Sus scrofa: one gene and its partners. The protein of the gene in region 1 interacts with the protein of each later gene in a biochemical or structural test. Links are inferred from orthologs where the notes say so. Each region holds a gene or a part of one and is shown on either strand. Other genes may lie near its edges.

Evidence for each region.
Region 2: of the proteins of CDK1 (region 1) and histone H1.0, one has a biochemical effect on the other in vitro, tested with the Homo sapiens proteins (3 studies listed by BioGRID). The link is inferred for Sus scrofa from reciprocal best matches to the Homo sapiens genes CDK1 and H1-0.
Region 3: of the proteins of CDK1 (region 1) and PKMYT1, one has a biochemical effect on the other in vitro, tested with the Homo sapiens proteins (2 studies listed by BioGRID and IntAct). The link is inferred for Sus scrofa from reciprocal best matches to the Homo sapiens genes CDK1 and PKMYT1.

Annotation. Positions count from the first base shown.
Region 1 is NC_010456.5:64,243,974-64,246,753, forward strand, and holds part of CDK1 (cyclin-dependent kinase 1), read left to right. Parts: intron 1-1,734; coding exon 1,735-1,898; intron 1,899-2,017; coding exon 2,018-2,159; intron 2,160-2,780. UniProt on the Homo sapiens protein: Plays a key role in the control of the eukaryotic cell cycle by modulating the centrosome cycle as well as mitotic onset; promotes G2-M transition via association with multiple interphase cyclins.
Region 2 is NC_010447.5:10,038,416-10,042,679, forward strand, and holds histone H1.0, read right to left. Parts: upstream 2,828-4,264; 5' UTR 2,433-2,827; coding exon 1,848-2,432; 3' UTR 529-1,847; downstream 1-528. UniProt on the Homo sapiens protein: Histones H1 are necessary for the condensation of nucleosome chains into higher-order structures. The histones H1.0 are found in cells that are in terminal stages of differentiation or that have low rates of cell division.
Region 3 is NC_010445.4:39,200,541-39,204,875, reverse strand, and holds the start of PKMYT1 (membrane-associated tyrosine- and threonine-specific cdc2-inhibitory kinase), read right to left. Parts: upstream 2,829-4,335; intron 2,520-2,828; coding exon of another isoform or gene 2,500-2,519; intron 2,426-2,499; 5' UTR 2,201-2,425; coding exon 2,182-2,200; exon of another isoform or gene 1,996-2,181; intron 1-1,995. Other genes in the region: uncharacterized protein LOC110260113, read left to right, coding at 2,500-2,519, 2,829-3,371, 3,639-3,909. UniProt on the Homo sapiens protein: Acts as a negative regulator of entry into mitosis (G2 to M transition) by phosphorylation of the CDK1 kinase specifically when CDK1 is complexed to cyclins. Mediates phosphorylation of CDK1 predominantly on 'Thr-14'. Also involved in Golgi fragmentation.

The DNA.
Region 1 (2,780 bases):
AGTCATTATCCTTCATTGCCTGCTGTCTGAAAATGTATCTGGAACCTTTCAATATTTTTACTTTGCCAGCTGGTGTGATGCTACTCTTTATCAGTAGAGGGTGCTAGAGAGGCATTGCAGGAAGAAAGGGTTTTCATTGGTGTATAGTTTTTTTTTAAAGTAATTTTTATTTTTTTCCATTAGAGCTGGTTTACAGTGTTCTGTCAATTTTCTACTGTACAGCAAGGTGACCCAGTCACACATACATGTACACATTCTTTTTTCTCACATTATCATGTTCCATCATAAGTGACTAGATATGATTCCCAGTGCTCTACAGCAGGACGTTGCTATATAGTTTTTTAGAGTTATTCTTTCTAGTCAATCTCTGATTATTTGAATCCTCTGTTGTTAATAATCCTTCATAGTAAGAATTCCTATTCAGGTTGTCATGTTATTTGTCTCTTGATTGGATCTTCTCTTGAAACAGTAAGATCGGTTAAAAGAGGTTTTGTTGCTTAAAGCCTACTGTTTCAGATGTATTTAGAAGCTACTAATTATAAACAAGTTCTGTCAGTGTTGTACTGATGATATCTAGAGGGAAAGTGAATATTGAATCACTTTGTTAAGGATTGTTGGAAAACTCTTCTGTATAGGTGTCTACCTTTGAGCCCAAATACTTTCTCCAGGTTACAACTTATAGCAGTTCTCTTTTCACCAGATGTCTTGGCTTTTTTTTCTCATTCCTTTTTCTCATTTTCTCCATGGCTATATAAATAAGGATGACTTGGTTTCCATTGGCTTACACAGATGCACTTGACCTCCATTGTGATATATTAGGCATGCTAAAATAGTAGATTGGCTCCAGACCACTAATAAACTGTTTGAATAATTTATTTGTGATTTTAGTGTTTGTACAGTATCACCCCTAAATCTGTTATCAGTCAGCTTTTTTAAAGTTTAAATTTTTATTTTATTTTATTATTATTTCTTTAAAGGCAACTAGTGTGGCATGTGGAAGTTCCCCGCCTAGAGGTGGATCAGAGCTGCAGCTAGTGGTTTACACCATAGTGACGCAGGACCCAAATAGTATCTGTGACCTTCACCACAGCTCACGGCAATGCTGGATCCTTAACACACTGAGAGAGGCCAGGGATCGAACCCCTCATCCTCATGGTTATTAGTTGGGTTCATTACGAATAAGCTACAACAGTAACTCCCAATTAGCTTTTTTTTTTTTTTTTTTTACTTTTTAGAGCTGCACCTGAAGCATATGGAAATTCCCAGGCTAGGGGTCTAATTGGAGCCACGGCTGCTGGCCTACGCCAGAGCCACAGCAACGCGGGATCTGAGCCATGCCTGCGACCTATACCACAGCTCATGGCAATGCCGGTTCCTTAACCCATTGAACGAGGCCAGGGATCGAACTTGCAACCTCATGGTTCCTAGTCGGATTTGTTAACCACTGAGCCACAATGGGAACTTTTTTTTTTTTAAAGTGAAGCCTATCTTGACTATTTTGAGTTTCTCGTTTTACTCATTTGAGAAGACTTGGTAAGCTTTTATATCTCCCCCACCCCCAACATATATAACTTGGAAATGAACTATTTAACATTTAATATTATATGTAATTAATTGACTTTTAAACAGTTATCAATGACCATTATGCAGCCTTCTAAAGGACAGTCCTAATGAAATATAAATGTTTATATTTAAGCCACATTTATTCAAAGTAAAATATTTTGTTTGTAATAGGTAGTAACACTCTGGTATAGATCTCCAGAAGTATTGCTGGGGTCAGCTCGCTACTCAACTCCAGTTGATATTTGGAGTATAGGTACCATATTTGCCGAACTAGCAACTAAGAAACCACTTTTCCACGGGGATTCAGAAATCGATCAACTCTTCAGAATTTTCAGGTATTTTTGTTTTTTATACGTAAGCTGTTAAGAACTTTAAATATTAAGACAACATGTATATAATAAGATTAATGTTGATCCTTTAACTCTTCAGTTTTTGTTTTGCTATGGCTTTTTAGAGCTTTGGGCACTCCCAATAATGAAGTGTGGCCAGAAGTGGAGTCTTTACAGGACTATAAGAATACATTTCCCAAGTGGAAACCAGGAAGCCTAGCATCCCACGTCAAAAACTTGGATGAAAATGGCTTGGATCTGCTCTCGGTAAGGAATGCTCTTTATAGTGACTTGAACATTATTATTTTGAATGTACTCAGTTCTTTCTTTTACCTAGCAAACAGGAAGACAACCAACATATACTGATTGACTTAGGCGTGTAACTATTAAGTCTGTTTATTGTGTTACCAGCGCCATTTTAGATAAGAAAAAATACTAGTTCTTTTGAGAGGAGAATCTGGCATTAGTTTGCTTTTGTTCATTTGTTTTTAATCTGATAGGTAGCTATAGATACTTTGAAGGAGAGGACAAGGTTAATATACCTTTAGGTTGCTGACTTGTGGTCTTCCTTTCAAGCTTTTTTGTTCTGGTATATATTACTTTTTAGTTTAGACATAGGTGTCTTCCTTATTGCTTTATATTCTTAGTTATTAGAGCCTTTACTGATGAATTCCCATTTCTCACTTGTGCCTTGTTTCTACATCAGAAAGAGTAGTAGAAGGATGAATGTAGTTTCTAAAACTTTTCCCCTCTATTACATTGCCATTCCCAACTAACAGTTGTATTCTTTAAAAACAAGAACAACAACAAAAAATTTGTCAAGATAACGAATTGTCCTAGACCTGCCTTGGGAAATTTGTTTTAGCATAGTATTTAAATACTGAGATT
Region 2 (4,264 bases), on another chromosome or scaffold:
CCTCGCCGGAGCGCGCCTGCCCGCTGCGGGCTGTACGCACGGAGACCCCCGCCTGATCACGTGGCGGGGGCTGGGCCCCGACAGCCAATCAGAGCGAGGGGCCCCCGCTACTGGGGCAGGGGAGGCGGACCCAGGGATGGGCGGGCGGGGCCTGGCGGGATCCGCAGTGGACGAAAGTGGATTGGTCTGTAAATTGAGACTGGAGCTGTCCTCAAAGGGGGAGGGGAAGTGACGGGGCGGAGGAACGCGCGTCCGGGCCTCCAGACCCCCACCCATCCCCTGCCTGCACACTTAGCACTCGGAAGGTTAAGGGGATGCCCTACGGGCGCGGGAGGCAGGCGCCGGGAAGCGGGCTGAAGCACATTCTGTACGCTCTAGCCCCAGGGTTGCCCCGGTTCTGTCGAGCTCTTGGAACCCTCCCCCATTCTCAGGTGCAAACGCCCCCGAGATTTCCCCCACTCCTTGCCCATCCGATTGCTACGCATTCTCCTCCAGGCTTGGAAGTGAAGAAAAACACACTGCACGGGCTTTTTCCTTTTTTTTTTTTTTCAATTTTATTTTAAAGTTTCAAAATTACAAAGACAGCAAATTCTTCCCGGCACAAATAACACTTGTTTAAAAAGTAAAAGGGGGTTGGGATGGTGGGGGGGGGAGGGGAAGGACGCACAATTGCGCGTTTTCCCATTTTATTACAAAAAAGGGAAAGACTGTACAGGTTTTTTCTCCCAGCTCCCGGGTGTGAAACGTTAAGTCCTAGCCCTAGATTGTATATATACATATACACACATACACACAGACCTAGCTCTGTAAAACTACTTAGCAATTCAAAGTCAACTGCAGTATGTCTCACTGTCCACTCCCCGCCCCCCTCCTCCCCCATCTACAACTACTCATAAAAGACTCAGAAGTAAAGAGGTCAGGAGGTTTTTAAGTGGCGGGTGGCAGGGCTGGAGCCCCGGCCGACCACCTGGCAAAGCCATCTCTTGTACAGGAGGAACCAAAAATCAGGCGAAAAGGAAAAAAGGTCCTCCTAGGATGCAATCCGATGGTGTGGAAAAAAACCAAGTTTTAACAGGGCACTCTGAGGCACTTGGCTGACCCACTCCCCACCCTTCCCCCAAAGCTTCCTCTGCTGTTTCACAGGAGACCTTCGGAAGCCACAGAGGTCTCCCAATAGCTAGTCTCCAGCTGATTCTGAGAAGCCACAATTTCTAGGACCAGCTGTCATTTTGACCTCCTCCCCTCACCTAGGACAATAGGGAGGCTACAGGGGCAAAGGAACAGAAGTGAGAAGGAAACTGGATGTGGATGCCCCACTGCTCACCACTGGGAGGTGCAAATCAGCCCAGACAGGGTTTTTTGTTTTTTTTTTTCCCCTGCTCCCTCCTTTGCCGTCCCACTGATGCCACCTCTCTCCTCTCCGCTAACGTTCTGCAACTCACGAGGAGTGTTCAACTTAAAACCTTACCAAGGCTGGGCTCCCTGTCATCTTGCCACAAGCTACCTTGCCCCATTCTCCCCCGACTTTTACCTTCCGAATGAATCAACCATCCAACTGAACAAAACACACAAACCCACCCAAATCCCCCAAACCATAAGTAGATTAATGACAAATTAACAAAACAAAATAGAAGTACATCATTACAGAGATTTGTCGTTGCTGTCCTTGCATGACTGCTTCAAGAGAAATGAATTATTCCCTAATTTCTGAGGAATCCAAATTCTGTCTCTTTATAAAGTCAGACGAGGAAGGGGCAAAGGGTTGCAGATGAGGATCAAGTGAGAAGAAAAAAGTATTTACAGAAAACAGGAGACAGGCAGGAGTGTCCACAAGAAAAGCCTCATTGTCACTTCTTCTTGCCGGCCCTCTTGGCACTGGACTTCGCTTTGGGCTTCACTGGTTTGGCCTTCTTAGGCTTGGATGCCTTGACTGGTTTGGCTTTGACAGTCTTGGGTTTTTTGGCTTTCTTGGGCGTGGCAGCCGGCTTCTTCTTGGCCTTCTTGACCGGGGTTGCTTTGGGCTTCTTGCTTGGGGCTTTGGAGGCAGCCTTCTTGGGCTTGGCCGTCTTCTTTGGCGTGGCCACCTTCTTGACTTCCTTCTTCGTCTTCTTGAAGGCCACTGACCTCTTGGGCTCGTCGCTCTTGGCCAGGCGGAAAGACCCCGAGGCACCCACCCCTTTGGTCTGCTTGAGGACCCCGGTGGTGACCAAGCGCTTGATGGACAACTTGATCTGGGAGTCGGCGTTCTCACCCACCTTGTAGTGGCTCTTGATGTACTTCTGGATGGACTGGCGCGAGGAGCCAGCGCGGTTCTTCTCTGCCTGGATGGCAGCCACGATCATGTCTGAATACTTGGGGTGGTCTGTGGACTTCTTGGAGGCCTTGGCCCGCTTGGGCTTGGCCGCCGGGGTGGACGTGGAGTTCTCGGTCATGGTGGCCTGCCTGGTCCTGTGTTGAAGAAGGCGCCTTCCAAAGGGCCAGCCCTCGTCGGAGGCCGAGGGAAGCCTGATTCGGGATCTGCTCTGGGCGCTCCTGGCTCCCAGGCCAGGCCGGGGGCCGCCTCTCGGACCTGGCTCGGGTCGCGGGGAGGGGGGGCACTCGCTGGGCCGGCTCTGCGTGGCCCGGCCCCGCGGGTCTGTCGGTCGGTCTCAGCGCCCGGCTCTGCCTCCGCCTCCGCCTCCTCTGCCTCCCTTTTCCCAGCTCCGCGTCTGGCGCTCGGGCGGCGCATCCGGGTATTTAGCGGCGGCGGGCGGACCGCGGTGAGGACAGGGCTGCTGGCTGCCTGCTCCGGGCCCGGAATGGCGCCGCGCCGCCGCCATCTGTGTTTCTTCTGCCGAGCAAATCCGACCTTTCCCCCCGGCCCGGGCCTTCCCGCCCCCGCCGCCGCCCAGGGCCGCTGCCTGGCTCCCTGGGCTCCCCCGCCGGGCGTCCCGCCGGCCCGGCCGCCGCCCCCCGCGCCCGCCACGCGCCCCAAACGGCGCCGAGGACCGCCGGCGCGCCGGCACATTTCCCCTTTGCGGGGGGCTGGCTCTGCGGGGCCGGGGCGCCCCGGTGCGGGAAACCCCCCGTAGCAAAGCTCCCCCCTGGGGCTACCGGGGGCCCCGCTCCCGGCCCGCGGCGGGACCCCCCAGCCCGGCGGAGCGGCCGGAAAGCGGCCCCAACTAACACACGCGGCCCCGAGCCGGGCGACTCCCAGCCGGGCCGAGCCGGGACAGGGGGGAGGGGTCGCTCCCCCAGGGTCCGATCACCTCTCGGGGGTCATCCCGCTACCGGGCCCACCCGCACCTCTACCTTCTCTCTGTCCTTGGGGCCCCCAGGCAAACTTTCCCTGGAAGAGTTGGAAGGGCACTTTCAAACTTTGTCCCTGCCCCCTCCTCGGTCTCCTCTCCCCCACCGCGCCCCCTGACCTCTGCGTCGGGGTTCTGTCCTGAAGCCAGACCCCCCGTGCTGCCTGGGTCCCCTGAGGGAGTGACGAAGGGTCTTCCGAGTCACCCCCTCTCCTCAAAGACCCCCCACATCCCCCATATATCCTAGCCGGGAATTCATTTGTAGTCCTTCCTCAGCCCAGGAGTTTGGGGGTGTCATGAGACAGAGTTCGCTGCCCCCCACGCCTAGGGCCCAGCTGGGGGGGTCCAGGCTCCCTCCCAGGGCTCCTTGAAGGCAATGAGGGGGGGCGGTTCACAGTGAAGGAGCTGCCCCGCAGGCTCTAACCAAAGACTGTCTCAGGGGCCCCGGGGATGAGGAGAGGCCCTGAGAGCTTTGGGAGCTTGGGGAAACGGGGCTCCAGGGAGGGAGGTCGAGGAGGGGGTCCTGTTCCTGAGTCCTGACTAATCCTCAGAGAGTGGCAGTTGTTCAGAGAGCTGTGGCCGGGACCACCGCCATTTTGCTGGGAAGATGCAGTGTCTTTGTTACAATGTACACTTCTTCCCCCCCCCACTGCTTGGCAGGTACAGATGAGGAAAACCAGGGGTGCCACGGCTCCTAAGGAGTCTTGGGGGCTCTGAGGGGCTTTAGGGGTCCAGAGGCTAGCAGATAGGACCCCCGAGTTCCTGAGACCCCTCGTCTGCGACGGATGTCCTACTTGCGTGCGGCTCCCCCTTGGCAGGGGTCCTAGGTTGAGATGCCGGGATGCTCAGGCCTGGCTCCCTGAGCCCCTTCTCGCAACAACCTGCTTTTATTTCCTAAGCAGAGGCCCCTCACTCTTCCGCTTAAACAATACCCTGGTAGTGGGGGTTTACAGCAGGTCAAAACACTGAAGGTGGCT
Region 3 (4,335 bases), on another chromosome or scaffold:
CAGCCCATGTTCAGAAGCTCTAACGCAGCTCCAGTGGGCTGGCAATCCTGAAGCCCCACGGCTCAAGTCTCAGCTCATTCCTAGGGAGAAGGTTCCACCCTGGGCGAGGCAAGCCAGGCAGGCCAGGGGCTACTGCCTCCACTCCGAGGCACCACTGTCCCTGCCCCCCGCTCCAGAACTCTGGCTTGGGGATCCTGCCCAGGGAAGAGGTCATAAAACAGAGAGCTCCAAAGTTCTCCCTGCAAAACACTGACTTGATGAGAAGCAGAGTGTGAAAAGTTCAAGCCTGAAGGCACTCTCAGGAGTTCCCATCGTGGCGCAATGGTTGACAAATCTGACTGGGAGCCATGAGGTTGCAAGTTCGATCCCTGGCCTTGTTCAGTGGGTTAAGGATCCGGCATTGCTGGGAGCTGTGGTGTAGGTCACAGATGTGGGTGGCTCGGATCCCACATGTCTGTGGCTGTGGTGTAGGCCGGCGGCTGTATCTCCGACTTGACCCCTAGTCTGGGAACTTCCATAAGCTGCGGGTGCTGCCCTAAAAAAAAGATTAGGAGTTCCCGTCGTGGTGCAGTGGTTAACGAATCCGACTAGGAACCATGAGGTTGCTGGTTCGATCCCTGCCCTTGCTCAGTGGGTTAACGATCCGGCGTTGCTGTGAGCTGTGGTGTAGGTTGCAGACTTGGCTTGGATCCCACGTTGCTGTGGCTCTGGCGTAGGCCGGTGGCTACAGCTCCGATTCAACCCCTAGCCTGGGAACCTCCATATGCCGCGGGAGCGGCCCAAGAAATAGCAACAACAACAACAACAACAACAACAAAAAAAAGACAAAAGACAAAAAAGACAAAAAAAAAAAAAAAAAGATTAAAAAAAAGGTAAAAAAAGAGAACAGATATCCGCAGATAAACAAAAACAGAAAAAATTCATTGCTAGCAGACCTGTTTTATAAGGAACACTAAAGGAAGCCCTTCAGACTGAAAGCCTGTGATCCCAAAGAGTAAGTCAAATCTACGTGAAAAAGAAAGAGCACCAGTAAAGTTAATCATGTAATATAGAAGACAGTATAGGAGTTCCCGACGTGGCGCAGAGGAAACGAACCCGCCTAGGAATGATGAAGTTGCATGTTCGATCCCTGGCCTTGCTCAGTGGGTTAAGAATCTGGCGTTGCTGTGAGCTGTGGTGTAGGTTGCAGACACGGCTCGGATTTGGCAGTGCTGTGGCGTGGTGTAGGCCTGGGGCTACCTCTCCGATTCGACCCCTAGCCTGGAAACATCTATATGCCGCGGGTGCAGCCCTAAAAAGACATAAAATATAAAATAAAATCAGAGACACTTTGAATTCCAAAACACACCTGGCCTCAGGGATTTGTGGACTTATAATGCCGACTTCATGGAAGGCTTAGTGTAGCGCCTGGCATGCAGACCCCTCAATAACTGTTACATAAAGCTCTGAGCAGTAATTGAAAGAACACACAAAATACAGTGGTCCATGGGTATAAGCAACTCTGTGTTGGGGCAGAGCGGGCTACTGTGTTTCTATAATGTCATAATTGAAAGAAAAACAAGAGGGGGAAAAAATGCGAGAGGAGTCCAATTTTGAGAGGAAGCCACAGTGTATCAAAAGATTCCATACCCTGGAGTTCCAGCCCTGACTCAGTGGTTAATGAATCTGACTAGGAACCATGAGGTTGCAGGTTCGATCCCTGCCCTTGCTCAGTGGGTTAAGAATCCGGTGTTGCTGTGAGCTGTGGTGTAGGTTGCAGACACGGCTCGGATCCTGCGTTGCTGTGGCTCTGGCGTAGGCCGGCGGCTATGGCTCCAATTCCACCCCTAGCCTGGGAACCTCCATATGCCGCGGGAGCAGCCCAAGAAATGGCAATAAAGACAAAAAAAAAAAAAAAAAAAAGATTCCATAACCAGCAGGGGGGTAAGTGCTGGGGAGAGTGAGAGGGGGAGGCAGGGGACCCCCCCCCCATAGAGGTCTGCATTTAAGACTCACCCTACAGCCTGTGGGGACCCTTGCTCTGCCATCCCAGAGTTTCTCAAAGTGAAGGATCAGGGTGTCAGGATCTCCTAGGGTGCTGGTTAGGCGTAGACTCCAGGCCCAGACGTAGGACATTTGGGGACCTTGGGCACCCGCATCTTAAACCAATTCTCAAAACATCGCAATGTCACTGTCACTTACGTTCTAGCACCCCTGGCATGGCCAAACAGCTTTGGGGGTGGGACAGGGGAGGTAGAAGGAGCAGGGGCTCCGGGTGAATCCAGGGTGGTCCTGAGCGGAGGCCAGGCCGCGACGACCTCTGCAGCTTTCAGGGGCCTCACCCTCTCACTGGGCTGGACACATCTGCTGAGCACGGTCCACTGCACTAGACTGTGAGTTCCTCCTGGGCAGGGCCACAGCTGAGTCACCTCCGTGGGCGCAAACCCTGGCCAACAGAGTGGAGCAGACCAGCTGTCAGGGGACAGGTCTGTGGGGGTTTTCCTGGAGAGGGACGACTCAATGGGGAGCAGTCGCTGGGGGCAAGGGGTCCCAAAAGAAAGGGGTCAGGGAAGCTGCAGAAGGAGTAGGACAAGAGCAGTCTGGGGGCAGGAGCCTCGAGAGAGGAAGTGGGTGGAGCCGCCCGGGGCAGGGTTGGGCCAGGGAGAGGTTAGCAGAGGGGCAGGGCAAGAAAGGGGAGGGGTGGGGCTGTCGGAGGGGGATGTGCAAGGGGGCGAGAGGGGGTTGAGACTGAGGCAGATCCGGGGAAGGGCTGTCAGGGGACAAGGGGATGCTGGCGAGGGAAGCAGAAGAGTGGGGAGAGCTGTTCCGCCCTGGAAATGTCAGGGCAGGGTATGGGCTCACCTGGGGCGGGTGGGCGGGGCGCAGCTCAGCGAGGTCCCGGATTCCGGTCTGCTGAGGGTGCGGGGATCCCCTGAGCGATCAGGCTGGCCGGGGTCTTCGGTGGACCGCTCCCCACACTGGCGGGGAGGACTCTCTGGACGGGGAACGGCCCGTGAACGCGCGCGGAGCCAGCTCGCGCCAAAAATTCCAAACCGGCCTCGAGGCCCCGCCCAGGAACGCCTCTTACCCCGCCGCCTCTCCGAGACAGCCTATCAGAGGAGCCCAATCTGCCGGGGCTCCGCCCCCAACGTCCGGGCGTGCGCGTCGCCGATCCCGCCCCGCCTGCTTCGCGGGGCTCTTGCGCAAGCGCGGAGCCACCTGGGCGCTGACTCCGAGCGGGGTTGGCTGCGCCGTGTGCCTGAGGGGCTGAGGCACCACGCGGAATCGGAACCTGCTCCTGGGGCCCTCCCGCCTGGTTCCCAGGACACCGAGGGACCTTCGGACACCGACAGAGCTCCACACCCCAGTCCCGGCACCCACGGCCCTCGCTGGTCTGCCTTAGTTTTCGCCTCTATAAAAGGAAGGGTCACTGCCTTTCGCCCGGGAGGGAGGTGTAGCCCCAAGAGGCGGTCACTAGGGGCCTGACAGGAAGTCCCCGCGGCCTCCGGGGCTCTTGCAGGTGGAGTCCCCTGGGCTCGCCGCTCCCTCCTCACGCCTGCAGTGCATGGCTCTGGGGATGCGGTGAGGGGTTGTCCCCCTGACATCCCCCCACCCGCGGAACGCTCAGCTTGGTGAACTAGAAAATTCTGCCTCTGCAGGAAGCCTCCCGGTTTCCAGGTCTCGGCCACCTCTGAGGGGGCCTTTTCGCATTCTTTGGATTTGAGACGTAAGCTCAGCGCAAACTCCCCTCAGCTCCTTCCTGGCCGAACGACCTTGGGGATGCACCGGGCCTTTCCGAGCTTCGGATTAACCTCCTCTCCGGTAAAAATGGAGCTGATGACGCTTACCTCAGGGAGCTGGAGGTTCAAGTGGGATGATCCGCTTAAAGTTCTTAGCAAGGGGCCTGCCAGAGCAAACGCTAATTCCTAACAGCTTCTTCCTTCACCAGAGAGAACCTTTTTATCCACATAACAGGATCAAGGGGGGGTCAGGCCACCCTCCCTAGAAAGCTCCCCATTTCATCACATTGCCTTTCCTGCTTTACTCTCACATTGCATTTATCTCTCTCTGGAATTCTATCCTCTTATCAGCTTTTGTTTTGTTTTGCTTTGTTTTTTAGGGCCGCGCCTGCAGCACATGGAAGTTCCCAGGCTAGGGATCAGCTAGGAGGGGCAGCTGCTGGCCTCCACCACAGCCAGGCAGGATCTGAGCCGTGGCTGCCACGTACACCACAGTTCACGGCAGTGCGCCGGATCCCCGACCCACTGAGCAAGGCCAGGGATCGAACCCAAATCCATGGATACTAGTTGGATTCGTTTCCGCTGCTCCATGATGGAAACTCCATTTATCCGTTTA